Linked DNA regions of Nothobranchius furzeri. The protein of the gene in region 1 interacts with the protein of each later gene in a pairwise test. Links are inferred from orthologs where the notes say so. Each region holds a gene or a part of one and is shown on either strand. Other genes may lie near its edges. The genes, in order: nab2, nme7, phf1, rfc5, nedd9 and phospho2.

Region 1 (4,199 bases):
AAGGCGGAACCTTTGTCATTGCACAATTTCCTTGTAGACCGAATATCACTGACGCACACAACAATGGCTACTAAAAAGGGATAAAAACAGACAGAAGTTGCCTTGATTGGACTGATGCAGGATTTAGGAAACACGTCCTCCTCTTTTCTTTACTTAGAAAAAGTAAACTTCCAGACAGCAACGGAGTCCATGTCGCAGACATTTTTCAGAGATCGTCTCTGCTGCGGCTGCCCGGTGGCACCGGAAACTTTAAAAATGTTGCGGTAAGCTATATTTTTAACATTTACGTAATATCTGTACAGGGCTGAAAGCACCAGACAGAATAATTCTTTGCCCTAACAGTAGTTAATGAAAGTAGTCAAACAAATGAGAGGCACCTGGCTGCAGCTGGGAAAATGGTCCATGTCCTCACTACTCTGATTTTAGTTGATTTGGGTCTTGTTTCATATCACACAGTGACATTTGAATAATTAAAAGGCATTTTTTAAATTAAGAGCTTTAGTTTACAGTAATAACCATGTCTAATGTTTGATTCTCTGTCTCATAATTTTAATTACAAGTTTTGCTTTGAGGGCACATTTTTTTGAACGATTAAAATGTGATTAATTTAGATTAATTAATTACAAAGCCTCTAATTAATTAGATTAAATGTTTTAATCGAGTCCCGGCCCTAATATATATATATATATATATATATATATATATATATATATATATATATATATATATATATATATATATATATATATATATATATAATTAGTTATTACAGAAAGGGTTTATTAAAGTTAATGTATTATTTGGCTTAAAGAAGATGAATGTAAGGGTTTAGGTGAACATGAATGTGATTAAGCAAGGGTGCCCTCCCCCACCCACTTGACCAACCTTTGGGACCGCCACTGTTCACATTTATCATTGATTCATTTTTCCTGCCTTGCTGTTGATGATGATGCTGGTGCCACGAAATCGTTCAGAACATGATTCAAATCTGACATGTTTTCGGTTCTAACTATATAATATAATATATATCTGATTCAACAGTCGCGTTAACCTTTTTCTGACGTTTTTTCTTAGACTTTCTTTGTCTTGGAGAACAGAAACAGGTTCAAGCAAAAACCCGTGTTCACGTGTGGGCTCCTACATGCAAACCCACATTAGTTGATCGTTTTTAACCTAATGGTGACTTCAGGTCTGGGGGTCTTTGTGGTGGTGAAACTGGGAATCCCCCACAGCGTGTGCGTCAGGAGCCGTGAAGACGCACAGGGTTAATTTCAAGCCCCCACCACCGCCGCCCACATCCCCTATTTGAAAGCCGCCTCTCTACCGGGAGAGGAAGGCTCTTTTTCGGTCAGATGGCGTGCTGCAGCCCGCCCCCGTCATTCTCCAGCCCACACAGACAGCAAAAAGGCAGCCAGAGCCAGCAACCAATACGGTGCGCCGGAGGAGGATTTCTGCCAGTGATATCGGACCAAGCAGCGACGCGCTAAGGGGATTTACTACGGCGATCTGCGGCGTGGAGGCTGTCGGTGAAGAGGTAAGAGGAACGAATCGGATGTAGAGAAGGACGACGTGTCGCTGAGCAGGGAGTCCTCTCTGACATCTGGCTCAGGATTGGCTCAGTCTGACTGGAGCCAGTCACCCAAGCAGCTCACTGCTTCACATCAGAACCATAAGGGAAAATATTTGGCTTCTTTCACAGTTTTATTCCAGGGAATAAGACCAGACTGCTTTAAGTTTCAACTCATCTGAAAAAGGTAAGAAAGATTCAAGAGTACTTGGTGCACGTTTGTGTTTTGCATGAAAAATATCATGTTTTTAATCCTAGAATCATGCAAAAGTTTTTGTGCTTCAGCCTGATAGATGCATTTGAAAATGAGCTGTCTGGATATTTAACATCTCTGGACTTTTCCACTTTGCAGGTTCATGTGTTTCCTTTCTCCTGCCTGAACTTTTCCAGTGCCGTGTGCCATGTCTCTGCCACGCACACTTGGGGAGTTGCAACTCTACAGGGTGCTGCAGCGGGCCAACCTGCTGGCCTATTACGAAACCTTCATCCAGCAGGGCGGTGACGATGTGCAACAACTCTGTGAGGCTGCAGAGGAGGAGTTTCTGGAAATCATGGCACTAGTTGGCATGGCCACCAAGCCGCTGCACGTGCGTAGGCTGCAGAAGGCTCTCCGAGACTGGGCGGCGAACCCTGCCCTTTTCAGCCAGCCTGTCGCCAACGTTCCTCTCGGGGGGATCCCTCTGTTCAAAGTTGATGGGACGGGCACTAGTGGGTCAGCTGGCGGGCCCAGAAAGCCTGTGAGTAATGGGCAGCCTGGGTCGCCCTGTGAGAGGGAGGATCGGGCGTGCCTCACCCCAATGTACAGTGGGAGTCCAAGGAGCCCCTGCTCCCAGGCCTCTCCTCAACCGCCAGAAACACACTACAGGGAAAAACTGTCCCCCATGGACCCCCACTGGCTCAGCCCAGAGCCTGATGGTAATAGCAATGTAGCTTCTGCACCTGGAACAGAGGAGGAGGCGCCCAGCCCGCCACTACTGTCCACATGTCCTCCTGGTCCTTCAACATCTCCTGTCCCATCTGCATCATTCGCCCCTTCGGCTCTGTCAGCCTGGCCTGGAGGACAGCTGGACGGGGAGACGGCGAGGGCCGTGGTGGAGAGCGTGGAGCAGCTGTTTAGGACCCTGCCCCGGTCTGATCTCACAGAGGTGAAAACCCTGCTGAGGATGAACAAGAAGATGGCAAAAACTGTGGGGCACATCTTCAGAATGGGTTCCCAGGATGCAAACAAGGAAGAAGAGATCCGGAAATACAGTCTGATTTACGGGCGCTTTGACTCCAAACGGAGAGAAGGCAAGCAGCTCTCACACCACGAGGTAAAACCTAACAAGCACATCACCCGAGCTCACGGATCGCTAAAGTGACAACAAACCAGATTTTATCTTCACCTTGTGACCTTAAATGTTGATTTAAAGCCTCCATCACTCCTTCATTCGGTGTCTCCTCCTCCCCAGCTGATCATCAACGAAGCTGCAGCTCAGTTCTGCATGCGCGACAACGCTCTTCTCCTCAGACGGGTGGAGCTGTTTTCTCTGGCTCGACAGGTGGCCAGGAAATGTGCCTACACCTCCACACTGAAGAGCACAAGGTGAGTGAGGTAGGGGTGAGCGATGAGGATTTGACCCACACAAACACACCTGCTTCACACGAGTTTCAGATCGAAGCAAAGTGTTAGTTAGACGTTTTCAGTTGTTTTATTCAGATTTCTTCTGTTACAGCTCAGGTTTTATATAAAAAGTTAATCAGGTAAAAAAAGAGTACACCTCAATTCAATTCTAGAATTTTGGGGCAAGCATGGGGCAACGGTGGCACAGGAGTTAAGTGCTGGCTCCATAATTGGAAGGTTGCAGGTTCGAGCCCCGCTCTGTCGCTGTGTCTTTGGGCAAGACACTTAACCCACCGTGCCTGCTGGTGGTGTTCGGAGGGACCGGTGGCGCCTGTGTACGACAGACTCACCTCTGTCAGTGTGCCCCAGGGCAGCTGTGGCTACAATGTAGCTCATTACCACCAGAGTGTGAATGTGTGTGAATGGATACATGACTGTTTGTGTTGTAAAGTGCCTTGGGGGGTTCCAGGACCGTATAAAGCGCTTTATCAGATACAGGCCATTGACCTATTTATTTATTTTTAACCATATTTTGATTCCAAAAGTTGACGTTCTTTAGTTTAAAATCCCAGACATGGCCTAAGCACTATTGTTTGCTGTTCAGATTATTGGGATTATTATTATAATTTTTTGGTCAAATTATTAAAATCTAATCAGAAAAGTTAGAGAATAAAGTTATAAAAACACAAACATTATTTTGTTGCAATTAAATTTTGAATCAATAAATCTAGTTGAGGAGACACTGAATCATCAAACTTCAGTTTAATGAGCTAGAAACAGTATTTTTACATGTAAAATTCCAGGTAATTTTTTTTTTACCAGTAAGTGGCTATAACACTCCATCATACATCTCATTGTTTACATTAAAATTCAAAAATGGAACGGTAGTTCATACATTTTTGGGAATTTTGGCAGAATTCTTATTGCAATTAAAAGTTTTTATTTTTTTATTATCTTCTGCAGGCCGAATGCGGATGAGAACAGCAGTTTGTGTAATAAGAGACCAAGACATGAGGTAAGCATTTACAG
Region 2 (4,648 bases), on another chromosome or scaffold:
CCCCACGGCCTCGCATGTCGCAGAACCTGCTGTTCCACACGCTGGAGCGAGAACCAAGAGGCTCCCACACTGGACCAGCTTTCTGTCCAAACTCAGGCTGGAGAGGCTTTCATAAAAACATTTGACAACCAACCTGTTCAACCAGGCCTCCCTCTGTTAAACCTTTGCTGTTATTTTTTCTCTTCTGTCACGTTCTCCCTGATCACGATGGATCTGACTGTGATGTATATTTTTCCCTTTTTTATAATTTCAGCTTTATTTGGATACACAATGTCCCGTCCAGTTGTGCAGCGCTTTGTGCTAATCTTGTCTGTGAACGGCGCTCTGGAAAATACTTTTGAGTTATTACTAAAATGTTCTTTTTTCTGCTGTTATTGTTTTTTCCAAAGCAAATCACCGCTATCACTAAACTCTGTTAATAACAGTCATCTGGCCAACAGACATGTGAGAAGTGCTGCATCATTTGGTCACCCATTGACTTTGGTGGATGGTTTTGTTGCTTTACAGGAGCCAAGCGGAAGACTTTTACGTGGAACATCAGTCAAAGCCTTTCTTCAGGTGAGTGCTCGTGTAAATGATCTCCCAGTTCTGAGCAGAGAAGGGTTGTGATTGCCATCTAGCACTCCGACCACAACCTGTGATGGTGACATTTTAGAGTTTTTTAAATTCAAATCAGCTCCAACGTGACTCTGTTTTGCAGTGCGCTGGTGCACTTCATGTCCTCTGGGCCAGTGGTTGCCATGGAGCTGGTGGGTGACAAGGCCCTGTCGATCTGGAGGGAGCTCCTGGGACCTGCAGACTCTGCTGTGGCGTTAACAGAGGCGCCACAGAGCATCCGTGCACAGTTTGGAACAGACGCCATCAAAAATGTGGCCCATGGCTCTGACTCCATAGCTGTAGCAGCAAGAGTGAGGATTTTGACTTTGTTCTCGCTCTCTTGTGCCTTCAGTAGTCTGAGAATCGCACTTCCTGGAACGGTCATGATCATTAAAGTTTGTGTGTTTGTTTTTGTAAGGAGCTGGAATTCTTTTTTCCTTCCACGGTCGGCCATGGCCCCTCCAACACAGCCCTGTTCACAGACTGCACTTGTTGTATCATCAAACCCCACGCTGTATCAGCAGGTAAGGAGTCACTCAGGCATGGCAAAATATCTCACTTTTATTTGTATTTTGTTATTTTGAGTTCCTGTGCTGCTGGCTTGTTTCCCCCCCCCCTCCCCAACAAAGCCACCATGTGGTTTCCAAAATGGCCTTGGATTTTTCCAAATCCCAGTGCTGATCCCTGCTCCCGGGGCATGCCACCAGAGCTCTGAGCTGTGAAATGTGAAATTCTGTGCAGAGCTGATGTTTGCACACAGAAAGCTGTTGACTGGAGGTGGACCCCAGCTTTTGTTCTGCACTTACAGCAGAGAACATACAGTAATAACTACAGATCCACTAATATCTTGTTGTATCTTGAGTTTCATCATTTCTCTGGTATCTGACTGTCTTTATGTTTCAGTTTGAGCCAGCGTGACATTATATTGCACATACATGTATAAATTCATGTACCCTTGCATTTACGATGGAAACGCTCTCAATGGTCCCTGAAATAAACTTAAAGGGATTTTCCACCCCTAAGTGAAATTGAGTTTATTGCTGTATTCCCCAGAGTCAGAAAAGTCAGAAAAAAAAACCGACAAAATGATTCATTATAAAGGTTTTGTGAAAGCAAGGCTTATTTCCGTCCACTGCCTCTGGGCGATAATAAAGCCATGGTGTATCTGTGCACCGCTGCTCTCTGGCCTGCCTTCATGCTGCACCTAAACAGAACAGATCGCCCACTTTTGTTATTTCTGCAGTTACAGCCACGCTTAGCCTGCTAGGGCACGTTCAAATCTTTGGCTTGAGAAAGGAGGCGGTGAGAGAGAATACAAGTGGGCATGCTTTGTTTGTCTGCAAGGCACCGTTGAGCAACAGTTAAGCTTGCAACGAGCCGCGGTGATAAACCAGCTCGGTCCGAACGCATGGATTTCAACATTTGCTCAGTGAATACCGGTGGTTGTTGGCTGTGTTAATCATTCCTGACAGGTCACAGTGATAGTGCTCTGTGCTCGTATATAAACTTTTTATCAAACCCCGGCGTTTTCAAATGAAGGTTTCCTTCATTAGGGGGTCCAAATAAATTTAAAAAAAGTAGTTTTATGTGGAACAATAATTGCTCCCCATGTTACGTCCTGATTTATTTGTGATTAAACATATTTGTAGAGCTGGGGTGAGTTTCACCAGCCACACCCAGGCCTGCTTACTGCCACTAACTTCAACAGAACCTGTCCAACAACATGAAGTAGGCTAAAAGATCTCCATGCTCTGGTCTAAAGAACCCAACATCACCAAAGCACTGCAGACCTCATTAAGGTCAGAGGTCATGAATCAACCATGGCGACAGAGAGGTTCTACTGACCGTAATAATCCATAAGACTCATCTCACATTACATTTAGTGTAAAACTAACACTTCATTTCAGTGAAGTATCCTCATTCCAACAGTGAAGCATGGTGATGGTGGTATGATGGTCTGGGGCAGTTTTGCTGCTGCAGGACCTGGGCCACTTCCTGTAAATGATGGAACCATGAACGCTGATCCGTAGCAGAACATATCTTAAACAATGTCTCGCTTAAGCTGATGTGTTTGATGTGCTACAAGAAGTTTGGCGCTTCTTAAAACAGTTCAGTTAAAACGAATCAGTTATCTCTCAGAAAGTGTGGCATTGTTAAAACTTCAAAGCTCCTACTCAGGCGTCAGTTTCACTGCTAGAAGTGACTCCCACACTGTTTACCTTCAGAGCCGTGATATATTTGGTCCGAGCCAAGAATAGAAACCAGGCTGAATGATTTGTCCAGCTGAGGTCGACAAAAAGCTCTGCTCTGATCTCCCCTCAGAAATCTCTTCAGTAGCTCATTTATGTCGTCAAGACGGCCTGTCACCGTGGCCATGAAGGACGCTGTGAGTGAAAATTCACTCAGACATGACCGGAATAGAGAAGCTTCTGTTGCCAGGCTCCTGGAATAGTATCTCCTAGCAACAGCAGCAGCTGCTTTGTGGCGCTGCGAGGAGTGTGTGGAACCTGTGCAGTCCTGGGGAGGGCACAAAGGACTCAGGCTATTACCTAGTGCACATAACTGGACTGTGACGTAGGGAGGGAGAGATCCACAGACGGCGGCTACGCCTGGTTCCTATTGAACGTCTGCGCTGCAGCATTTAGAGTTAATGAAAACCGTCCTGGGTGACAGGTACACAAGCTACTTTTTATCAGACTGAGATTACGAGACTGGCGCCTTGATTCAATTGTGTGTCTGCAGCAGTCTGACCTTCAGAGTCACTGCAGCTGCACCACTTCTACAGCAAAGACCCAGCTCTTTGATGGGATGTACAGTTCACTATCTCGTTTCCTAAAAGGTTGCCTGGACAAAAATGCTTTCCCTCGATAGACAACACATCAGCGAGACTATCTCACTCTGTCCAGAGGACAGACTGAGGTCAGTGCACTGAGATGTACCGCTGATGTCTGAGCAGAAGCACGTTCAGTAGTGATGCATCCGGACTTCACGATAGTCAGATGCTTCACTGCAGCAGTGGATTCAGGTGTTATTTGATCTGGACGACATCTGAGATTGCTGCAGCACTAAAATACCGTGTTTGTCCTTCTGTGTAAACTCGGCTCATAAAGACTGATGAGCATCATGTGTTCACAGGGCTGACTGGGAAGATTCTTAACTCCATATCTGCAGCTGGATTTGAGATCTCAGCTCTTGGAATGGTGATTATTATTTTTCTGTGTTTGTTTCACATGAAATGAGTAAGGTCTGTAAACTCTAGCGCTTTAACAGCGACTCTTCATGCTTCCCACAGATCGATGCTGTAGAACTAACAAGCTGCTCAGTGTTACTGTGAAAGGGTTAGGGTCCATTAGGTGGAATAAAATCCCTTCATTTCAGTCTGTTGTAACAAATGGTTAATGGCCTGTATTTATACACCACTTTCTAGGGTACGACACAGCTTTTATTCACACACACACACACACACACACACACACACACACACACACACACACGCGCACACACACACACACACACACACACACACACACACACACACACACACACACACACACACACACACACACACACACACACACACACACACACGCGCGCGCGCGCGCACGCACACACACGTTCAAACACTAGCAGTGATTAGCTTCAGTGTAGCCACAGCTGGGAGACTGACAGAAGCTAGGCTGCTGTAAACACTCCCTACTGGTCCCTTCAACCACCACAAGTGCCTTGCCCAAGGACACAACTTCTTTCAGTTCAGTTCATTTATAAAGCGCCAAAACACGACAAGAGTCGTCTCAAGCACCTTCACACAGTAAACATTCCAGTACAGGTCAGTTCATTAAGTCAATCAGTAAAACTGACTAGTGTCAAGAGTCTTTACAGCAATCCTCATACTAAGCAAGCATGCAGCGACAGTGGAGCGGAAAACTCCCTTTTAACAGGAAGAAACCTCCAGAGCATCCTTACTCAGTATAAGCAGCCATTCCACTCACTGGGGATCGAGAAGATGGAGCAGACACACACACACACACACTCACATACACACACACACACA
Region 3 (4,648 bases), on another chromosome or scaffold:
TCTCATCCGGCTTTTTCACCCAGACTCGTGTCTGAATGATCTGTTCAGCTGTTTTTCCCTTTTGCTTTAGGGTGATTTGATGTTCCTGGATCTCTCCACATGTCCACCGATCATTTAGGATAATGAAGACGATTCTTTGAAAGGGGAAGCTGTCTCAGAGACGTCTTAGTCAATTTCACTCTGGCCAGCCGCTTTAAACAAGATGATTAATGTGTTGTTATGAATTTTGATAAATGGTCTGTTGATCCGCAGTTTCCTGCTCCATAAAACTGTTTCTTTTCCCAATTAATATGTTGGTCAGATTGATGAGATGTAGCTTTGTAATGTTCATTTAAAAAAAACTTTTTATAATTTAACCACCAAACATTGAATAACAGACAATTCTCTCCTGATATTAGATTCAAATAAATAAATAAATAAATAAATACAAAATGAATAATAAAAATATTTTCTTCATACAAACACAACAGAATTTTTAACTCCACTTTTATTTTGAAAGATTTCTGGATGTTTTACACTGCGTTCATGTTTGACTTTCTGTCTGGCCCAAGCTGAATTTGACATGTTCTGGAAGAGTATGTAGAAAATAGACTTGAAGCATAGGCAACTCATACATACGCTTCTGGTGTGCTTCCTAAACGTAACGCTTATTGGGCCAATGGAAACACACTCATTCACTATATTGGTGGCTAACTGCTGCATACTACGTGCATTTGTGTCTGGTGGAAAGGCTCGATAAGGCAGCGAATGTCTGGATTTATCTTTATTTATTACAATAAACCTGTGTTGTCAAGTATTTCAACTAAATTTATAATAAAAAGGTTGTAGAGCATCAATGTCCTTTGGTGAGTTGCAGCACAAATCGTGTCATTAGAATTTTAAATGTGTAAACCTAAAATTGCACTAAGCCATTTCCTCAAAATAGTTGCAAAGCTCAAAGTTTAGCCTCTGAACGCCAAACACTTAAAAAAAAAGAGTGAGACTAATGAAACTGAAGCTGGAGACCAAATTAAACTCATTTGTGAGCAACTGGAGACTAAGACATGACAGTCTGACATTAAGAGTGTGGCAGATATGCTAGAAAATGAAGATGAAGCGTAAACGAATTACAAAACATTGCAAATTAATTTTAAGAATTCAACTTTCACAAAAACACTCAAAGTTAAATGATGTTTCAACTAATTTGCATATGTTCTTGCAATTTTGCGTCTCCAACTATTTGCCAGGAATTTCCTTACTTTGTTACGTCTCTCATCAGGGACACATTGTAACAAATTTATTATCAGAATTCAGACATTTTCACCATTCAGCTGAAATATTATTGGTCCATTCATTTTGAGGTTTTCCGGGGTCAATATAAGAGCCAGTTTGAGTCTCTTATGAAACACAGCTGGAGTTCAAAGTTTTTAGACACACAAACGTCAACCACTCACTCCGAGTAAAAGAGCAGCAGGTAGGTGTGAGTCCATCTGCAGTATAATGAGAAAACGACTTCTGGATGGAAACTTGGTGTCAGGAAGAGCAACAAAGAAGTCACTTCTATCCAAGAAAAGAATCAGAGACAGACTGACGTTCTCAGCCAAGGGAGGGGAGTCACTCAGTTTAGCCTGAGAATAGCCATGAAGAAAGAATGTTGCCTAAACATCCTCCCTGAGGAACTCCTTCAACAATCCAGGAACAGTCACAACTAAGTGGCTCGGGGAGCCAAATATCACTGAAATCCAAGCACCATTGAAGAAGAATGGGCTGCTACCAGTTAGGATTTGATCCAGAAGTCAACTGACAGCATGTCACAGCTATATCGATGTCATTTACGCGTTTACGATCACACAAAATCCCACTCTCTTATGGAGCTAATAACTGTTCTAAAGTGATTTCATTACAAGAACATCATATAACTAATCACTTAGCAGGCCAGCTGACTGATCCAGATCTGTTTTACGGCCATGCAAAATTCAGTGGATCAAAGATAGTCCTTAATGCTACAAATAATTAAAAACGTATCTTTTGAGACTCATTCAGTCCAATTAGAGATGTCCATATGCAGATTAGTGATCTGTCACCTACCTGTCCCCGTAAAGCAAAGGCTTCATTAGACACTGTGTGCAGGCCTCGTGAAACCACTGACCACAGCTTCCACACTGCAGCATCTTCAGGTTCCACCTGCAGCCCAGCAACAAGAAAACCCAATCGACATTAAACTCATCTGCACAAAAATGTGTCCACCACCAATTACACAATGATTCTGGGTTCACATACAACAACAAAAAAATACTGCGTTTGTTTTATTCTGCAGATAAACAAAAATAAATAAATTAACGCCAAGTAAAACAAATCGCTTTGCATTCAGTTTATTTCACAACATGACGTCCAGCCAATCATAAATAATCCAGAGGACGAGCCAGGTGACAGAGCAGACATGAACAGTGTGTTTAAACTCACTCTCCAGGTCCGGCGCAGTAGCAGTAACACTGCTGTTGGTTGGTCAGATGCTGCGGGTCCCAGTCTAAAGACGACAGCTGGTAGGGGAGACGGAGTTTCATGAACTGCATGAGTCGGGCGAAGCGTCCTCGCTTCAGAGCTCCGCCTCTCTGGGAAAAAACAAATTTGGGACAGAACTGATTGCACGTGAGCCATTAAATCTTTTTGAATCAGTAGACATGTCCAAAAACAAAGACACCATCTTGGGGCCATCAAGGGGCCGCAATATTTATAGAGGAGCCAAGTATTAATCCTACAACTAAACTAAAGATTTAACTCAGGAAGTTCTTATTTGGCTGATTAGCGCCACTTGTGTTTGGACTTGGAATCGTATCCACCTAACATCTAATCACGGACAAAGGATAGTTGAGAGGCAGCCAATCAGATTTCAGCAGGAGCTAATGCCTCTGTGGCTCCGCCCGTAGAACCTCCAGTGAAATTATCTCATTTTATTGTAGGTTATTCATGAAAGCTGAATTCTTTGGCACCAGAATTTTTGAGATCTGGACTTTGACAGATCGATAATTGCTTTTTTTTTTCATCTTTCAGGTACAGAAATGGAGCACATGTGATGGATTGACTTTAAATGTGCTCCTGATTTCCTGTAAACCAACATAACTATCGATTGTCCACAGTTCCTCAGACACAATGCAGAGCGCCTCATATCAGAGCCACTGCTGAGAGAAGGAGTGTGTTTTCAGCCTCAGATAAACACATTACATGCAGCACACAGCCTTGATGTATTTGACAGGATTCCTCCATTATTCCAGACTGAATGGTGTTTTTTATGGGTGAGACGGAGAGATTAGCAGCCTGACCTTGGTTGCGACTGCAAAGACACATTGACGACAAATCCACGAATCGCTGTCTGCTTCCAGTTCGATAGTCGGTGTGTGACACTCCGGATGATAACCTGTAACAGAGGAGGAGGCAGAGCGTGTAATTTGTCTTTATAAGACAGACAGCCAGGATGACAGTAATGGCAGAGCAGCTCCATTTTAAAGACTTTGGTTTTAAAGGCATGCAGAACATTTAGCAGCATGTAGGTAGGGAGCCATGTTTGCTTCTCACCTTCCTCAGACTGACACTAACCATGTTTGCGCAAGGCTGCTGTAATGACATAACCATTTCCTGCATCTGCTGCTGGGCATTTTTAAAACCTGCACATCTGATGAGTATGAAGTCAGTGTGAAAGTGGACAGATATTGTTTTATCTGCTGCAGATACCGATTTTGGGCCAATTTTCATGGTCAATATCTAAATGTTTTCCAACATTTTTGCATGCTAAAGTGTCATTAACACCGGCTGATGCACAAAATTTCTTTAGTTGAATCAGTTTTTGAACCACTGCTCAGTGTTAAAACCAGACGTTTAACTAAAGTTAATCAAACAAATCAATGAACTGACCAAGTACTAAATATTCAAAACTGTTGAGTAAAAAAGAAATTTTAGTTGAAAATATCTTTTGGAGCTTTTATTATGAAGATGTTTGTTTTTCCAGGAACATAAATTTACATTTAAATTAAATTCTACAGCTGCCTGTGGATGTGTCTGACTTTAAAATCGTACATACTAAGGAGGTATTTCAGCCCATGCTGATAAATAATAATGTCAAATATCAGCCCAATGTATCGGTCGGCTGATATATCAGTTTACCCTTTCATCAGAACGTTTTGAATGGAAGCCAGTTAATTCAAAAATACAACATTTAGGGTTAAATGCTCACAGTTCAGTAAACTTAGAAAATACAAGTTTATGTTTCTGTATGATCATAACAGCTGATGCCCACATTTCTTTAGAACTGAAGTGTTTCCATCCCCACCAATTGTAGACAGCGCCCTGAACAGCCTCTGTTCAGGGAAATGAAGAGTTTACGTTCTTCAGGATTGATGAGCTAACAGGTAGTAAGAAATGTGATGCTGCCATATTAAAATGGCTCCAATCTCCTAAACCTTATATCAAATTTTGTTTAATAAATCTTTACATGACAAAGAATGTATCTTACAAAGACAAAAGTTTGGGCTCTTACTTCCGGGACAAAATTTATTCTGAGTTGTTTAAAGTGATGGAATGTATTTTTTCTGGCAATAGGGGGTAGCAGATACCCAAGTCTTTGACAAACACATCAGACTCCCCCTTTACCTGAAGAGGTAAATGTGTAAAACAC
Region 4 (5,134 bases), on another chromosome or scaffold:
AATTTACGGAATACCCCGCGGGCCAATTAAGGGATATTTTGCAACAATGTCAGTTATCCGCGCGTCTTGCATAACCGCTCATGGGGTCTGGGACACGCTGCCACAGCAGATGCGCAGGCTGTCGTCTGCTGGTAATGGATTGTAAACACGGGCAGCCTATAGGCCTCGCATCATACTCTGATGAAGAGCCACCTTCATCCCCGCCACCTGCAGAATGCGCAAGTCTGTAAAACAACCCACTGCAGACGCACCGTGGCCTCTTGATTCATTGCACTGCACACAAAAAAACAAACAAATAAAACAGATAGCGGCGAGCTTTTAGCGGAGATCTTTGCATATGAATGCATTGGCAGCACAATGCCCCCTGGAAAAATGCACATAAATATGCAGAGTGGCCTAAAAACAGCACGGTGGCAGCCCTCGGGATGGATGGAGGTGGAGATGCACCACGTCCAAAAGAGACACCAATAAAAGCTTACCTCCAGCGTTCTTATCTCCTTTTGCGTCAAGTCGTTGGATGTGGCACATTTGGTCCGTAAACCCTCCAAACTAGAGATGCTTATGTCTATCATGTTCTGCACCAACTCGCACTGCTGCAAGGCTTTCTGCAAACTCAGATGCTGCTCCTCGCTTTTTGTCATCTCCTCGTTCATTGTTTGGCGAACAGTGGGTGGATAGTTCTCTTTGCAGGAGAAAAATGACAACGATAAAGATTATTTGAAGGAAATAAACGTGGAGGAGCCCACGGAGTACAGCGACCTGCAGAACGCCATGAAAAGAGATGCTGCGGGTTTGGATTCAGGGTTTGAGCCGTGACAGAGTCGACTCCATCGCCTCCATCAGTCCTGCTGGATCATCAAGGTGGGCTAAATCAGATGCAGCATGAAGACACCGAGCTGGACTGCGCGGTTTGACACAGCATCCATTGGGTGCCTCTTCCTCTCAGAAGGATGTTGAAAGAAAAAAAAGAAAAGAAAGGAAAAGAGGGATGTGGCTCAGCGCATCGTAAGCGGACAGCTCGGAGGGAAGTCTGGAGCGCTTAACGCTGCTGGATGCGGGTCCTCCGTGTCTCCCTGGGCAGCAGCAGCATCCCGGTACGTTCCCACCACACCGACATGATTCCTGTCAATCAAACCCACAGCAACAGCATAGCAGCGCCCAGGCTCCGCCGTGAGGGGCCGCTCTCGCGAGAACTCCAGGCCTGGATGAGAAACGGGTTTTCTTCATGTCCGAGTCAAAGATTTTTTTATTCTATTTCATTTACTCATATCAACGCCACATATATGTGCACTCTTATTACACACTTACACACACACACAATATATATATATATATATATATATATATATATATATATATATATATATATATATTTGATTAAAAAGATCGCAGTGCAAGCATCGCTGAAAAATCATAGATTGTTTAGTCAAAGATCAAAATGAGGCTAAGGTCAAACTTAGGTTTATATTAATTTTCTCGGGGTTATTTGACTTAAGGGGACTTTAAACCACAATAAAACCATAAACCTGTGTTTACATGAAAAATGTGATCTATTTTAGGTAAATCTTAACACGGGCATAGCTCATAACACATTTTCTAAAGAAATTAGAATGTTTAGGTACAAAGTGGGTAGTGACAAACATCTAGTCATCATCATCATCGTCGTCGTATCTGGAAATAGCTGACATAATTGTTTTTACGTTGTGCTTCTTTCAGGACATTCTGGCTAATATAATTGATCAAGCTGGATAAATATTTTTGGTTTTATTGGTTTCTAGTGATTTATTTGCAATGAGAAAAGAAAAAGTTTGACATTTAAACGAATTTGAAGAGGAACAACAATGTTTGACATTTCTTGCAGCGTACTGATTAGTCGCAGTTGTGTTAACTTTTTGCAGCGCTCAACTAACCACAGTGACCCCGCCCACTACAAAGACAAATACCGTCATCCAATTGGTTGTACGTATTGACGTTTTGACGCACGTTTCTCTCGTGAGCGCGGCAAAACAAGGCAGGGTTACAAGCTAACGAACAGGCTAAAATTCTAGTGTTTATTTGTGATTATTGTTCATTTGCAGGAGGCATGGCGTCTACGAGTAAAGTCCCGTTGCAGTCTCGGAATTTACCTTGGTGAGCAGAAAGCGCGTGTTTAATTACGCAAAGGTGCTTAGTGCTAGCTAGCTAGCATGCTAGTAGCTGAAGTGTTCACACTTGTGTCCCCCATCATAACTTTAACCTTTTACCGTTGCACAAACTCGTCAAACAGACCTTGTTAGGTTCGACAATAATGATTAAAATGGCAACGGAATCTACAGATTGGTTTTATTTGAGCTAATATGTTTGCTTTCTGTGCTGTCAAGCTTTAATCATTCAGTAAGTAGTTATTGTTTATAATATAACTGACGCACTTGTTTTGTATTTCAGGGTAGAAAAATACAGACCTCAAACCCTCGACGATTTAATTTCACACAAAGATATCCTGAGTACCCGTGAGTATCTGCAAGTAAAACACGTTGTTGTCTTCTTTCCTGAAGCTTCATCTGTGTAAAATAAATATTCACATCATAAAATTCTACTTTTAGTAACTAAAATCATGATAAAAATAAACGTTTCTCTGATTTCGTGTGTTTGAAATTATATTTTCATACTTATAAATGAGTTTATTTTTGTTAATAACTTATTTTATTACCTTCAGTCCAGAGGTTCATCAGCGAAGACAAGCTTCCCCACCTTTTGTTCTACGGTCCCCCTGGAACAGGCAAAACCTCCACGATCCTTGCCTGCGCCAGGCAGCTGTACAAGGATAAAGAGTTCAATTCCATGGTGCTGGAGGTAAACAAACACTTTCATGAGTGTTCAGGGCTTCTTCCTGTGCTGGAATGACCTCACGAGGGTTCGGAGATTGTTCAGAAACTTTGCTTTTTCTTTGCAGCTAAACGCGTCTGACGACAGAGGGATTGACGTTGTACGAGGTCCCATTCTGAGCTTTGCTAGTACCAGGACTATTTTTAAGTGGGTATAAACAAACTAAAAGGGCTTTTGGGACCCAGAACCTCTGAGATTTTGCAGGTACCTGTACGGCTGTCATCTTTTCTGTTCCTTCAGGAAAGGCTTCAAGTTGGTGATTCTGGACGAGGCCGATGCCATGACCCAGGATGCCCAGAATGCACTGCGCCGAGGTGAGCCATCTGTTCTCCAGGGCGCCGCCCACTGTGAGCCTCACAGCTGACTGAGCATCCTCATAATCTGGCTGCTTTTAAAATGGTGGATCTGCTTTCCAAAGCCAGATTTGTTTCCAAACGGATTCTTTTAGGAGTTTCAAACTGGGAGGAAATGGGAAAACATGTTTCCTGTTGCTGGTCGCTGTGGGTTTTGTTGCTGATTGCAATTTTACTCGTATTTAACTGAGGCATGCATAGAAAAGATGCTGTCAGACCCTGTCTTGCTTTAGAATATTTGATCCTTTTCATGTTTGGTTTAGAAATGCTGGCTGGTAGAACAAAAACCCACGGTGATGATTTGTGATTCTTATCAGAACTTTAAAATGTTTGCAATCATTTCCTACTGCAAGCAACACTTTCTGTTCGCTGCGTTAGTTTTAACGTCTCCTGCTTGTGCCGACCTCCTCTGTCGTAGTGATTGAGAAGTTCACAGAAAACACTCGATTCTGCCTCATCTGTAACTACCTGTCGAAGATCATCCCCGCTCTGCAGTCTCGCTGCACCAGGTTCCGCTTCGGCCCGCTCTCTCCCGACCAGATGGTCCCCCGACTGGAGCACGTTATCCAGCAGGAGAAGTAGGAACATTTCTTCTCTTTTCTTTTGCAGATTCGGTTTTTGCACCCAATCCTGGTCCTCTAGGGGCCCTGTCCAGCGTGTTTTAGTTGTTTCTCTGCTCCAACACACCTGATTCAATGCTTGAATCACCTGTTCAGCAGGTCGTTAAGCTCCGCAGAAGCTGCTGTGGTAAAACCTGCCCCAAAAATCACAGATGAGTTCATCTGAGGTGAAGTCAGAGTTCTGAGCTTCTTCTTCCACGTGAACATTTAAGTTCCCCTAATTATTGCAAACATTTGATTTAATGTAAGATACCAAAAATCACAAATGATCGTTTTATGCCATCGTGTTTTCAACGACTTTAAACATTTTTATTTTTTCTTTGCTTTCATGCAGACGCATGAAGTGCATGGATTGGAGAACTTTTCACACCTCAGAGCATTTAAACCTTCTCCAGGCCTTTTCCCAAGTCTTCCCATCAGAGTTGCTCCTTTAGGAAAGATTCTGGACTTGAATTTAGACTAAAGCGTTTCATTAAGAGATTTATATTTAGGTTTTAATCGGATGGATTGGAACTAATTTAAACTAAAAATTAACCGGATAACTTTTTTAACATGTGGCAGCGTTGAAGTGACTCCAGATGGAATGAAGGCCATTGTGACGTTATCATCTGGTGATATGAGAAGATCGCTCAACATTCTGCAGGTACGACTTAAATCTGCTTTCTTTCTGGCCCAGACGTTCATTTTCGATCGCCTGGAAGTAGGGATGCAACGATACCACTTTTTTCCCAAACCGATACGATACCGATACTTGGATCTGGGTACTCGTCGATACCGATTACCGATACTTCTACCACACAAAAAATGCAATGATTTGGAATACAGATTTTACTTTCTTCTCTGCTTTCAACAGGAAAAGACTGTGAGGAAGATAAAAAGTAAAATATATGAATGGAAATCATCACAAAACTAAAATATTAGGTGAACAGAAATGACAAGTTACAGTGAAGCCATTTTCAAACAACTGCATTGGTATCGGTTAACCTTTACCGATACTGGTATTGGTGCCGATACCAGTATCGTATCGGTGCATCCCTACCTGGAAGTGTTAAGTCGCCACAGCGTTCATCATCACATCAGTAGAGGGGTAAACTGGTGCTCTCTCTGGGATTTCAGAGCACCAGCATGGCGTACGGGAAGGTCACGGAGGACACGGTGTACACCTGTACGGGCCAGCCCCTTCGCTCAGACATCGCCAACATCCTGGACTGGTGCCTCAACAAAGACTTCAACACTGCTTACAACCGTATCCTTCACCACCACCTAATGTGTGGTGGTAGGGCTGCACAATATGTC
Region 5 (4,648 bases), on another chromosome or scaffold:
ACCTGGAAACTCAGCCTTTAGGCATCAGATGACTTTTATTATTTATTCCTAAATATTCCATCTTTTTGCTGTTTGAAGCTGCTGAACTCTGTTTTTAATCCTTTTCTAAAAGCATCTCTTCTGTTTCAGACGTACGACGTTCCGCCAGGTCACATGTTCCTGAGTCAGCCGGGCGGAGCCAGGAACCAGGGAGTCTACGACGTTCCCCCGTCTCAAGTGGAGCCCAGAACACAAGGCGTTTACGACGTGCCCCCGTCCTCGCAGGGGGTAAGAGCGCAGCCCCCGAGCCTTTTACTGTCGGTAGTAAATGAGTCGGTGACGTTTATGAGATTCCTGCGGCTCCTCTGAGCGAGCGCCTCGGCAGCCAGTAGAGTTCCCAGAGCTGTGGCTTTGTGTTTAAACTTCATCTGTCAAAAGGTTTCTATTTCCAGAAGCTCTTAGATTTCATCAGAACCGCCGAGGCGGTTTGTTAGTAATAACATGAAACACGCTCAGACCCGCTCTTACTCCTAATTACAGCTGGCTGCTCCCGTCTCGCTGTTCCAGATGGAAATCACTTACAGCCCACAGCCTAATTCCCCCCGCTGAGCTCCCAGGATGCTTTGAGGCAGAGCGGTCGGGTTGCAGCAGGGTCAGAGCTTCGCCACAGTCGGGAACGTTTTAAACGCGTCGCTTTTTCCCGAGTAGCCGGGAAGCTGCTGCTGCTCAAGCTAAATCCAGGCTGGAAAACTGGGAAGTGGTGTGGGAGCTCTGCGGGACCATCCGTAAGTCTGGAGCAGACTCGGATGACTTCAGGATAAAATCCTGAAATCCCGTTCCGTGCCCGTTTGAGGTTCGGGAAGGAGATCGGACCGGCAGAGTCTGTTTCCTGTTGATCAGAATCTCTAATCATCTTGTTGTCCACAGATCTACGCGGTGCCCAGCTGCAGGACCAACGCAGCCCTCCAGGAGGGGAACTACGACTTCCCACAGCCCCTCAAACACAAACAGGAAGGGATCTATGACGTCCCGCCCCCTTCCCTCACCAAGCCCACCCCCAACCATCAGTCTCCTTACGATTTCCCCCCCAGCCTCGGGCCTGCCGCCCTCCGCCAAAACCCGAACCCCGACCGGAGCGAAGGCATTTACGATGTTCCTCCGACGGCTCTCCTTTCGGTTCTGGACCCCCAGCAGGACGTTTACGACTTCCCCCGGGGCGTGCCGGCCCCCCAGCTCAAAAACTCTGCCACTGACGGAAGCAAGGGAATCTACGACGTTCCAGTCCAGGAAGCTCGCGCGGTAGCGGACGTGACAGACAACGTGAACCGCCTGTCCTTTTCCAGCACCGGCAGCACGCGCAGCAGCATGTCCACGTCCTCGTCTTCAGCCGGGTCCAGCTCCGAGGGACGCCTGGTTCTGGACGTGGACGCTGCTGTGCAGAAGTTGTACCGCCTGCAGCAGGCGCTGGACCTCTCTGTCGGGGCGCTGCATTCAATGACAGCTTCCCCTCACTGGAGGACATTCCCGTTCATGGAGCGCCAGGCCAACGACGTCCGTGCGGTGCTGGATCGGGTCCGGGCCACCGTGGTGGACTTTACTACATTCTGCAGAGGAGCCGCGGCCAACGCCACGTCTCTGTCGGACTCCAGCCTGCACAGTAAGCTCCGACGGCAGCTGGGACGCCTGGAGGACTCTCAGCAGATCCTCCTGCAGACCTATCACGCTCTGGAGATTTCCAGCTGGGCTCAGAAGGCCCTGGCCTCATCCCGACCGCACCACCACAAGAGCGACGACCTGGACCGCTTCGTCATGGTGTCCAGGACAGTTCCAGACGATGCCAAGCAGCTGACTTCCACCATATCTGGGAACGCTGAGCTGCTGTTCCGACGGACGCACGCGGACGGGTCGCTCTCTAGCGGAAGCACGCCTGAGGAGAACGACAACTACGGCGGCCGGACCAAGGCCTTCCCCGCCCCCCCGGGCCAGGACAAAGACAGCATGAACAACAGTGAGAAGTGTGTGAAGAGCTGGATGGAGGACTACGATTACGTCCACCTGCAGGTCAGAACCTTTTACGGGTTTAACCGTTTAACTGTAGAGTTTTAGGTAAACGGGTCAAACAGAAAACACCACCTCTGATAACCTAAAGTGTAAAGTATAAGCGCCTTGCTCCGCAGCCGTGGGACCGGCTCATCTCATCCTGTTCCCGTTTCTTCCCAGGGGAAAGAAGACTTTGAGCGTCAGCAGAAGGAGCTGCTGGAGAAGGAAAACATCATCAAGCAGAACCCGGCTCAGCTGGGCCAGGAGCAGGTGAGACGGGAGAACTGGGTGTGGATAAGGAGGAAGGTTTAAGAGAATCAGAACCTGGGAGATGTTTGGGACGGGCTTTAGTTCTGGTTCTGGTGGAGAATAACCAGACCTCTGGTTGCTTCACAGATCAATCAGTTCAAGAAGCTGGAGCAGGAAGTGATCCAACCCGTGGAGAACGACATCCCCCAGTGGATCAGCGCGTCTCCGTCGGACCCGTCCTCCGTCCACGTCTTCTCTCGGGACCGCCAGCTGCTCGCCTTCTATTCGGCCCAGTGCGAGCAGCACTTCGTCACCCTCCTCAGCGCCGTGGACGCCTTCTTCGGCTGCGTCAGCGCCGGCCAGCCGCCCCGCATCTTCGTCGCCCACAGCAAGTTTGTCATCCTCAGCGCCCACAAGCTGGTCTTCATCGGGGACACGCTGTCCCGGCAGGCCGCCGCCCCCGAGCTGGCCAACAGGGTCATGAACTCCAGCAACGTTCTGTGTGACCTGCTGAAGACGGTGGTCACCGCCACCAAAACGGCCGCTCTGCACTACCCCAACACGGCCGCCATCCAGGAGATGGTGGACCGGGTCACGGACCTGTCGCACCACGCGCGGCAGTTCAAGGAGCAGCTGCTGCAGATGGCCTCGTCGTGATGTTCCTCCTGGCTGCGTGTGTAAATATCAGCTGTTTCCTGTAGATAGTTTTGTATTATGGTCTGTAGGTGCAGTCGTGGTGTCTCCGTAGAACTTTGTGGACTTTTCAGAACATTCCTGTTGTGTCTGAAGCACCTTATGAGCTGTAGATGTTGTTGTTTGTGGAGCTCGTCTCAGAGTAAACAACTAATCTGAACACGGGTCAGACTCGTCTTACTGACACAAGTTTTCAAACTACCAACCTTTCCTGAAAAGCAACCGGAGCCCGTTTGGCCCGGCTCTGTTCAGAACCCCTCGGCCGTTTAGATTTTCCTTCCATAAACAAGATTTTTGAACACCAGTTTCTGTCTGGGCCTGACTGGGTCGATCAGAACCGAGCCTTTAGAACCTGCAGCAGGTTTTCAGGAACCATCAGACTCTGTGGTTTTGTCTGAACGGGGGTTGAGTAAGTGAAGTGGACCGGTACCAAGGGCTCAGCAGACAGGTAGTAGCTCAGAACCAGAACCCAAGGTTCTGCCGAGTCATTTCCTCCTCTCGCCACAGACTGGTTCTGGAATTACAGCTCAGTTCCTCCAGAAGCTGCAGATGGAAACGCAGCGGTCCGGATGTGAGGGACGCGTGGCTTCGCCGGTACCACAACAGCCGGGCCTCGGCCCGCTTTGAGGTGGCTTCCATCCGGGCCTGCACGTGTGTCCAAGGCGAGACGGATGAAAGCAGGAGACTCTGAAGTTTCATCCAAACGCATCGACAACGATTCGCTATATAAAAATATTTCACTGGTCTCCTCCCGGTCCTGGTACCGGCAGGTTCTGGTACCAGCACATAAAACACTTCATTTATTTTTCTAAAGGTTTCAGCACCATAATTCCTGAAGTGTTCATTTTACAGAGCAGCTAAAACATAAAGAGTGATAAACAAACCAAATGTAAAAACTAAAAGATCCGCAGAGTTTGAATCTAGACTTTAAAATCTGCAGGTAGAGAAAAGTTGAGTCCAATAAAGACCAAAAAAACACGAAGGACGTGTTTGGATGAACAAAGGTAAGCATTATACTACCTAAATATTACCTTAGTAGTATTACTTTTACATTACTGTTGTTAAACATATCAGAACTGGTATTTCCCCAAAGGAACTAGAAAACTGCAAACAGGAAGTGTTTTCTCTGCGGCTGTGAAAGGCATTAGTCAAAAGCTGAACAGAAACATTAATAAATGAATTTTTCCATTTTTACATTAAAATAAACTTTTATATTGATGAAAGGTTTTAGCTTACCCTACAAACAAAGCCTGTCTTGTTTTCATCTCTGACCTTTGACCTGAAGTCAGGCCGTTTTCTGTCAGTGCGTTGCTGCCCCCTGCTGGTGGCTCTGGGAAAGACAAGATTACAGATTTAAATCCACCAAACATTCAGTAAAAACGGCCCAGACAAAAGTATTTCCCTAAGTGAAAAGATTCATAAAGATTAATTAAACACCCTAATATATAATAAAATATATTTTCAAATGAGATAAAGCAGGTTCCTCTGGGTCTCAGGATGCATTTTATTCACATTTATTTTTGTTGTTGGGCAAATTTTTATTTATTTTGATGTACAAATATAAATGGTAATGAAAAACGCATGCAGACAGTTTAACTTTTTTTTACTTTTATGTCTTAAATAATACATTTCTTAAAATAGTTTTATAGGAATAATAAATACATTTAAATATACTTTTAAATATATG
Region 6 (5,201 bases), on another chromosome or scaffold:
GCTCCAGACAACAACGTTAGCTCTAACGGAGGGGCTACCCTCCTGAGTTGTCGCCCTGGCTAGCAGTTTCTCCAGAGTGAACCCCAACCTGGGCATGACCACATCATTCTCCCTCAGGCAGGACGTAGGGCAGAAATCGTTCCCACCGTCTCCCACATAAAAGATCCGCTCGTAATCTGTGCCACCAGCCGTTTTCTCTGAAAGGTAGAGCTCCAGGACTTTCCTCTTGCAGAGGTTGACAGGACATTTGTTGCAGTCGTGAGAATGGTAGTGCTGCACCTCCATCCAGCCAGACTCGTTAAACCTAGCCGGGTTGCTGAAAACCTGGTCCACAGCTGACTGAAGTCCCGCCGCTGTCAGGACCCATTCTATAAACAAGGAGTTGGCATCAGAGATGACAATGCAGTCAACTGTGTTTTTATTCTCTGATATAAATGTCAGCAAGTCTATCATTCCAGCGGTGAGGGGGATGGTCTCCATCACAGCTCGTACCCTGTCAGGACTGACCCCCTGGTCTCCTGTTTGAATTCATGAAAAAAGGATCACAGCTGATGGCTGAGCAGGAAGGAAGAAACAAAACACAATAAAATATCATAATGAACTCTAACCGATGTACTGCATCACTCTGCACATGTAATCCGTCCAGTGGCCCTTTCTGTAGGAACACTTCACAGAGTTTGGAAGATTTTGGTTCGGAAGGGACCTGAAAACAGGAAAAAAGTGAGATTAATAAAAGGATAAATGGTTACCCTACTACACTTTCCTATCTACGATGATATTTGGATAACGTCTGATGTTTATTACATACTGGATCACCCAGATGTCACAGTTGTCATCAACCACAGTGTGGTCAAAATCAAACACCATCAGATGCTTCATGTTTTCACCTGGAAAAAATGTGGTTTTGAATAAAGACACACAAATAAAGTGAAATAATCATCATCAAGGAGTAAAACAGGTTTAGTGGCTGAACTGTAAGCACTTTCATTTTCTATAACTGCTTATTTTAATATGCCGATTCAACCACGGCTGCGTTGTTAATATGATCTGATTTTTGCTTAAATTATCACAACAATAGTATGTTTTTAAAAGCTAGTATTATTTTAAGCAGGAGTTTGGCGTAGCTTGTCCAGCCTAATCTTCCGGATTAAAAACGAATGCAAAATGCCAAATTTGGGTAGAGAGGACTCAGCATTGAGTACACGTGTTTCTAAGGCCGAATTCATAGTTAGTTACTTTACACAAATCAGAATATTAAAATATAAATTATTACCGGTCTGTCTGTCACGAGTCCGACGGAAACAGCGGCTGTAAATATGTGCAACACATTTCTGCTCGCTACTGCCGCCTGCTGGTTGTTTCGATGCATTACTAGAACGAGATCATGACGTTGAGATAGATTTCATCAAATGTCCTTAAAAATATCGTCATTATCTAATTATTTTTGATGTAATTTTCTTGAATATTTATGCAACAATAATTAATTGTTAAAAAATCACAGTAAACGAACAAGAACAAGCTCATTTTTGCTCTGTGGCCACTAGGTGGTAGTATAATTCAGCTCTGACAAATCATAAAACAGAAGAAGAAACCCTGCCCCTTTACTTCCTGGTTGCATAAAATAATCCTCGCACTGTTTAGTGTGATATATTCTGTCGTCACCTCTTCTCTGACGAGTTTAAATTTGTGAACCAGCATGTTCAAAGGATTCGGGACGTGGTTGGGTCTGGAGAAGACGTCGGAGGAGAACCTGAGAGCGGAGCAGGAGGAAAAGGTGGTGGAAGCCCAGAACGACGTAAACAAACAGCAACCAGCTGACCAGGATGGGGAGGCAGAGACAACGCAGACAAACACTCAGCAGAACAAAGGATTTGGTGGTGAGGAACAAACTATGTCTCGCTACTCTATTGATTAGTAAATGTCTTTAGAGAAGTTTAACGCTTTTTTTCAGAAGGTAGCGTTTATTATATCATCTTAAACCCGAACTAAAGGTTTCTCCATTTGTTGTTTTCAGCCAAGTCAGCTGAGTTTAAAATCTGCTGTTTGCTTCTTGTTTAAATAAACGTTTCTGTTTTTATCTCCTCTCCTGTTTAAAGACTACATCTTCAGCTTTGCCTCCAACGCCACCAAGAAGCTCTCTGATTCTGTGGTGGAGACTGCTCAGAACATCAAGAAGACAGTAGAACAAGGAAAGATCGACGGCATCATAGACAAGGCATGGCGGGATTGCTGGCCACGTTTTTGAGCCCTTTAGGGCAGGATTTCGTGTTATCTGCTGTATAAGTTAGATGACTGATTACGTGTTTGTGTGTCTTTGCAGACTATTCTAGGGGAGTTCCAGAAGGAACAAGAGAAGTTTGTTCAAGAGAAGAAAGCCAAAAAGTCAGGTAAAGCCAGATGTGACGTAATCACAGGTGTGTCACCATTAGGTGGCATTTTCAGGTCACCGAAAGCCCTGCTGACCCTGTGTGTTAGGGTCAAAGTCCTCGCTAGATGAAAATGACCATCTAATGAAAATGTTTGAAAATACATGAGAAAAAGCCGAATAGATGGATTGAGTCACTTAAAATGAGCTCACACACAAGTTAATTAGTACTTTAACACTTGCTGATAGGAGGTAGAAAAATATAAAAGGTTCACAAAGTTTAAATCTGTTTTAAATGACTGTGTATAAAATTCTTGACTTTAGGAAAAACATAAACAGGAGCAGATCATTTATTCCGTGTGAGGGCTTGAGCTAACTGATCGTTTAGAAACGCCTTCCTGGAGTTACAACCTACTTTTTGTGAAATTGGGATTTTTGACTCTTTTCACAAATCTAATGAACTGAGAACAAATCGTGTCTTTGTGACGGGCTTCTGCTGAGAAGCCCTGAATCTTTGCTGTCAACAGGAAGGTGGCTCATCCCTTAAGTTTAGCTGTCTTGGATGCCCGAATGATTTGCATGTCTGTGTTGAAGAAACGGAAAGGAAAAAAAAGACATTTCACAAATATACAGCCACAATATTAGGTGAAGTCTAAAGAAAATGAAGATCCTTTGAAATCCTGGAGAATTATTGTTCCAGAAGGAGGTCTGAATGACTGGAAGTGACTCGCTGTTCTCCATGGAGTCATCAGTACCAGTTTATAAACAGACTCGTACATTAGAGTGACTGTTTGGCTAATTGATAGCAGCCCATGTTTCTAGTTTTATTATTGTCCCCTTTTGTTAGGGGGGGGGGAGACTATGTTGGATCAATAATTGTACAGAAATGCTGATAGAATATTTGATAGATTATTAGACTAGTTTCAAGTAAGATACTGTTATTATTTTGCCCCAATGCTCCATTAGCTTCTATTAGCAGGTTAGACCTGAAAGAGGACGTCTGAGTCTCACCTTAACTCTTCGTTGTGGTCCTGAGAATCAGCTGAAGTTATGTGGCTCCATCCGCTCTTATCGTAACATGTCCTTTTAGAAGAACTAGGCGTGTGTGTGTGTGTAAAAGAGAGATAAGAGTGTGTCAACGTGTTTGTGTAGAAGCAGCAGTGCCTCCATGGGTCGGCTACAACGAGGAAGAGACGATCCAGCAGCAGATCCTCGCTCTGTCCGCTGTAAGCAGCACCATCCTACTACAGTGGTGTCTCTAACCAGCTGTTTGTGCAGACACTGACCTCTCTGGGTGCTGATTGTAGGACAAGAGGAACTTCCTGCGGGACCCTCCAGCAGGTGTTCAGTTCCACTTTGACATGGAGCAGATGTATCCTCTGGCTGCAGTCATGCTGGAGGAGGACCAGCTCCTCAACCGCATGCGCTTTGACCTGGTTCCTAAGCAGTAAGTGGTCTTTCTACATCGTGTGTGTGTGTGTGTGTGTGTGTGTGTGTGTGTGTGTGTGTGTGTGTGTGTGTGTGTGTGTGTGTGTGTGTGTGTGTGTGTGTGTGTGTGTGTGAGCAGAATGTGGGAACCACTTCTGAGACAGGGGCAGCAGAGATAACATACTGTAACTTTTCTAGATCTTTGCTGAACTCTGTTGTGTCAGATGGTGAGGCAATAAACAATCTTCAAAGCTTAGAGGCTCAGCAGTATCTACATAGTAATAAGTGGAGTGTGTGTATGCTCCAGCCGGGTATCAGATACAATATAAAGCTGCATCGTTGACTATTTTGTGATGTCCTTGCCGAAGTTTTGGAACTTAGGTTAAAGCTGGTGGTCTGAACACACGTTACGTTATTACTCAGAAAATTGTCCACATGAAATCATACCTGTTGTTGTTGTTGTGAGGCTGCTGTCATGTCTGTTTGCTACCCAGCTTCTCGTCTCTGGAGGTTTGTCATATCTAACAACAAAGTAGGATGCAGGTGTTCCTGTCTGGGTATTTTCACAATAAAATGAAAGAAATGCACAAACAAAGTTTTTGGTGGTTTTCAAGTTAAGATTTTTCAGCCACATCCTTCTGGGTTCCTCATCTCTGGAGAGGGGGTGGGGTAAACCAACGCTGGCAGCCACACTCTCTCTCTTCCTCCAAAATGCATGCTCTAAGCATCGCTCAGATTTAAAATCCTCTGATTGTTTGTACAACAAACTCACTTGGAGGCCAGGCTTCCCTGCCTCTTCCCTGTAGATAACCAGAGCATCACTCAGTTCGCTGTGGGATGTGCTGAGCAAGATGGTGTCGTCGGCATACACCAGGTCAGTCTGGTGGTAGCTGCCTACGGTTCACTCTGAAGATCCGTTCACAGACCTTGCACATCAGATGGTCGAAAAGGCAGTAGAAGTCCTGCTGGGCACCACTGGAGATGGAAAACCAGTCAGAGTGGATGCAGCTCTGTGCGTTGCTGTAGAGAAGTTTGAACAGGGCAACGCTCTTGGGTGGTGCTCCAAGTGCTTGTAGGAAACTCCACAGTGAGTTGTGGAAGACTGTGTCAAACGCAGCCTTCAGATCAATAAACCCGGTATCGAGGTGTCAGCCTTTACGGAATTCATATTTCACCTCTATCAGTAGGCGAACGGCAGAGATGTGGTCTGTAGTGGCTCGTCGGGCACAAAGACAGCCTGCCGGGGGTGGCGACTGCACCTGATAGCTGGCAGGTCACGGGTGAGCATAATCCTGGTGAAAAGTTTGCCGGGGATGGAGAGAAGTGTAATGTCTCTGGGGTTGCTGCAGGTCAGGAGGTCCCCCTTCCAGAAGTATAGCATAACCCCTCAGGTCCTCTCAGTTTCCCA

The links.
Region 2: the proteins of nab2 (region 1) and nme7 interact in binary tests that used the Homo sapiens proteins (3 or more experiments, as listed by UniProt). The two-hybrid records come from large-scale screens. The link is inferred for Nothobranchius furzeri from reciprocal best matches to the Homo sapiens genes NAB2 and NME7.
Region 3: the proteins of nab2 (region 1) and phf1 interact in binary tests that used the Homo sapiens proteins (3 or more experiments, as listed by UniProt). The two-hybrid records come from large-scale screens. The link is inferred for Nothobranchius furzeri from reciprocal best matches to the Homo sapiens genes NAB2 and PHF1.
Region 4: the proteins of nab2 (region 1) and rfc5 interact in binary tests that used the Homo sapiens proteins (3 or more experiments, as listed by UniProt). The link is inferred for Nothobranchius furzeri from reciprocal best matches to the Homo sapiens genes NAB2 and RFC5.
Region 5: the proteins of nab2 (region 1) and nedd9 interact in binary tests that used the Homo sapiens proteins (3 or more experiments, as listed by UniProt). The two-hybrid records come from large-scale screens. The link is inferred for Nothobranchius furzeri from reciprocal best matches to the Homo sapiens genes NAB2 and NEDD9.
Region 6: the proteins of nab2 (region 1) and phospho2 interact in binary tests that used the Homo sapiens proteins (3 or more experiments, as listed by UniProt). The two-hybrid records come from large-scale screens. The link is inferred for Nothobranchius furzeri from reciprocal best matches to the Homo sapiens genes NAB2 and PHOSPHO2.

Annotation. Positions count from the first base shown.
Region 1 is NC_091743.1:50,555,446-50,559,644, reverse strand, and holds the start of nab2 (NGFI-A-binding protein 2), read left to right. Parts: upstream 1-1,399; 5' UTR 1,400-1,534; intron 1,535-1,699; 5' UTR 1,700-1,754; intron 1,755-1,919; 5' UTR 1,920-1,968; coding exon 1,969-2,880; intron 2,881-3,018; coding exon 3,019-3,152; intron 3,153-4,133; coding exon 4,134-4,185; intron 4,186-4,199. UniProt on the Homo sapiens protein: Acts as a transcriptional repressor for zinc finger transcription factors EGR1 and EGR2. Isoform 2 lacks repression ability.
Region 2 is NC_091756.1:61,686,313-61,690,960, reverse strand, and holds part of nme7 (nucleoside diphosphate kinase homolog 7), read left to right. Parts: intron 1-507; coding exon 508-558; intron 559-700; coding exon 701-908; intron 909-1,015; coding exon 1,016-1,121; intron 1,122-3,732; coding exon 3,733-3,797; intron 3,798-4,648. UniProt on the Homo sapiens protein: Possesses an intrinsic kinase activity. Displays 3'-5' exonuclease activity with a preference for single-stranded DNA. Does not seem to have nucleoside diphosphate kinase activity.
Region 3 is NC_091745.1:62,314,662-62,319,309, forward strand, and holds part of phf1 (PHD finger protein 1), read right to left. Parts: intron 3,395-4,648; coding exon 3,300-3,394; intron 2,592-3,299; coding exon 2,443-2,591; intron 2,164-2,442; coding exon 2,068-2,163; intron 1-2,067. UniProt on the Homo sapiens protein: Polycomb group (PcG) that specifically binds histone H3 trimethylated at 'Lys-36' (H3K36me3) and recruits the PRC2 complex. Involved in DNA damage response and is recruited at double-strand breaks (DSBs).
Region 4 is NC_091750.1:34,476,501-34,481,634, forward strand, and holds the start of rfc5 (replication factor C subunit 5), read left to right. Parts: upstream 1-1,747; 5' UTR 1,748-2,083; coding exon 2,084-2,130; intron 2,131-2,424; coding exon 2,425-2,489; intron 2,490-2,695; coding exon 2,696-2,832; intron 2,833-2,932; coding exon 2,933-3,012; intron 3,013-3,105; coding exon 3,106-3,179; intron 3,180-3,636; coding exon 3,637-3,796; intron 3,797-4,399; coding exon 4,400-4,481; intron 4,482-4,954; coding exon 4,955-5,084; intron 5,085-5,134. UniProt on the Homo sapiens protein: Subunit of the replication factor C (RFC) complex which acts during elongation of primed DNA templates by DNA polymerases delta and epsilon, and is necessary for ATP-dependent loading of proliferating cell nuclear antigen (PCNA) onto primed DNA.
Region 5 is NC_091759.1:25,492,068-25,496,715, forward strand, and holds part of nedd9 (enhancer of filamentation 1), read left to right. Parts: intron 1-129; coding exon 130-267; intron 268-906; coding exon 907-2,040; intron 2,041-2,199; coding exon 2,200-2,289; intron 2,290-2,415; coding exon 2,416-2,925; 3' UTR 2,926-4,648. UniProt on the Homo sapiens protein: Scaffolding protein which plays a central coordinating role for tyrosine-kinase-based signaling related to cell adhesion. As a focal adhesion protein, plays a role in embryonic fibroblast migration.
Region 6 is NC_091749.1:29,516,181-29,521,381, forward strand, and holds the start of phospho2 (pyridoxal phosphate phosphatase PHOSPHO2), read right to left. Parts: upstream 3,469-5,201; 5' UTR 3,377-3,468; intron 2,388-3,376; coding exon of another isoform or gene 2,321-2,387; intron 2,216-2,320; coding exon of another isoform or gene 2,097-2,215; intron 1,878-2,096; coding exon of another isoform or gene 1,697-1,877; exon of another isoform or gene 1,593-1,696; intron 1,390-1,592; exon of another isoform or gene 1,274-1,389; intron 888-1,273; 5' UTR 880-887; coding exon 809-879; intron 704-808; coding exon 609-703; intron 519-608; coding exon 1-518. Other genes in the region: syap1 (synapse-associated protein 1), read left to right, coding at 1,697-1,877, 2,097-2,215, 2,321-2,387, 3,518-3,591, 3,673-3,812. UniProt on the Homo sapiens protein: Phosphatase that has high activity toward pyridoxal 5'-phosphate (PLP).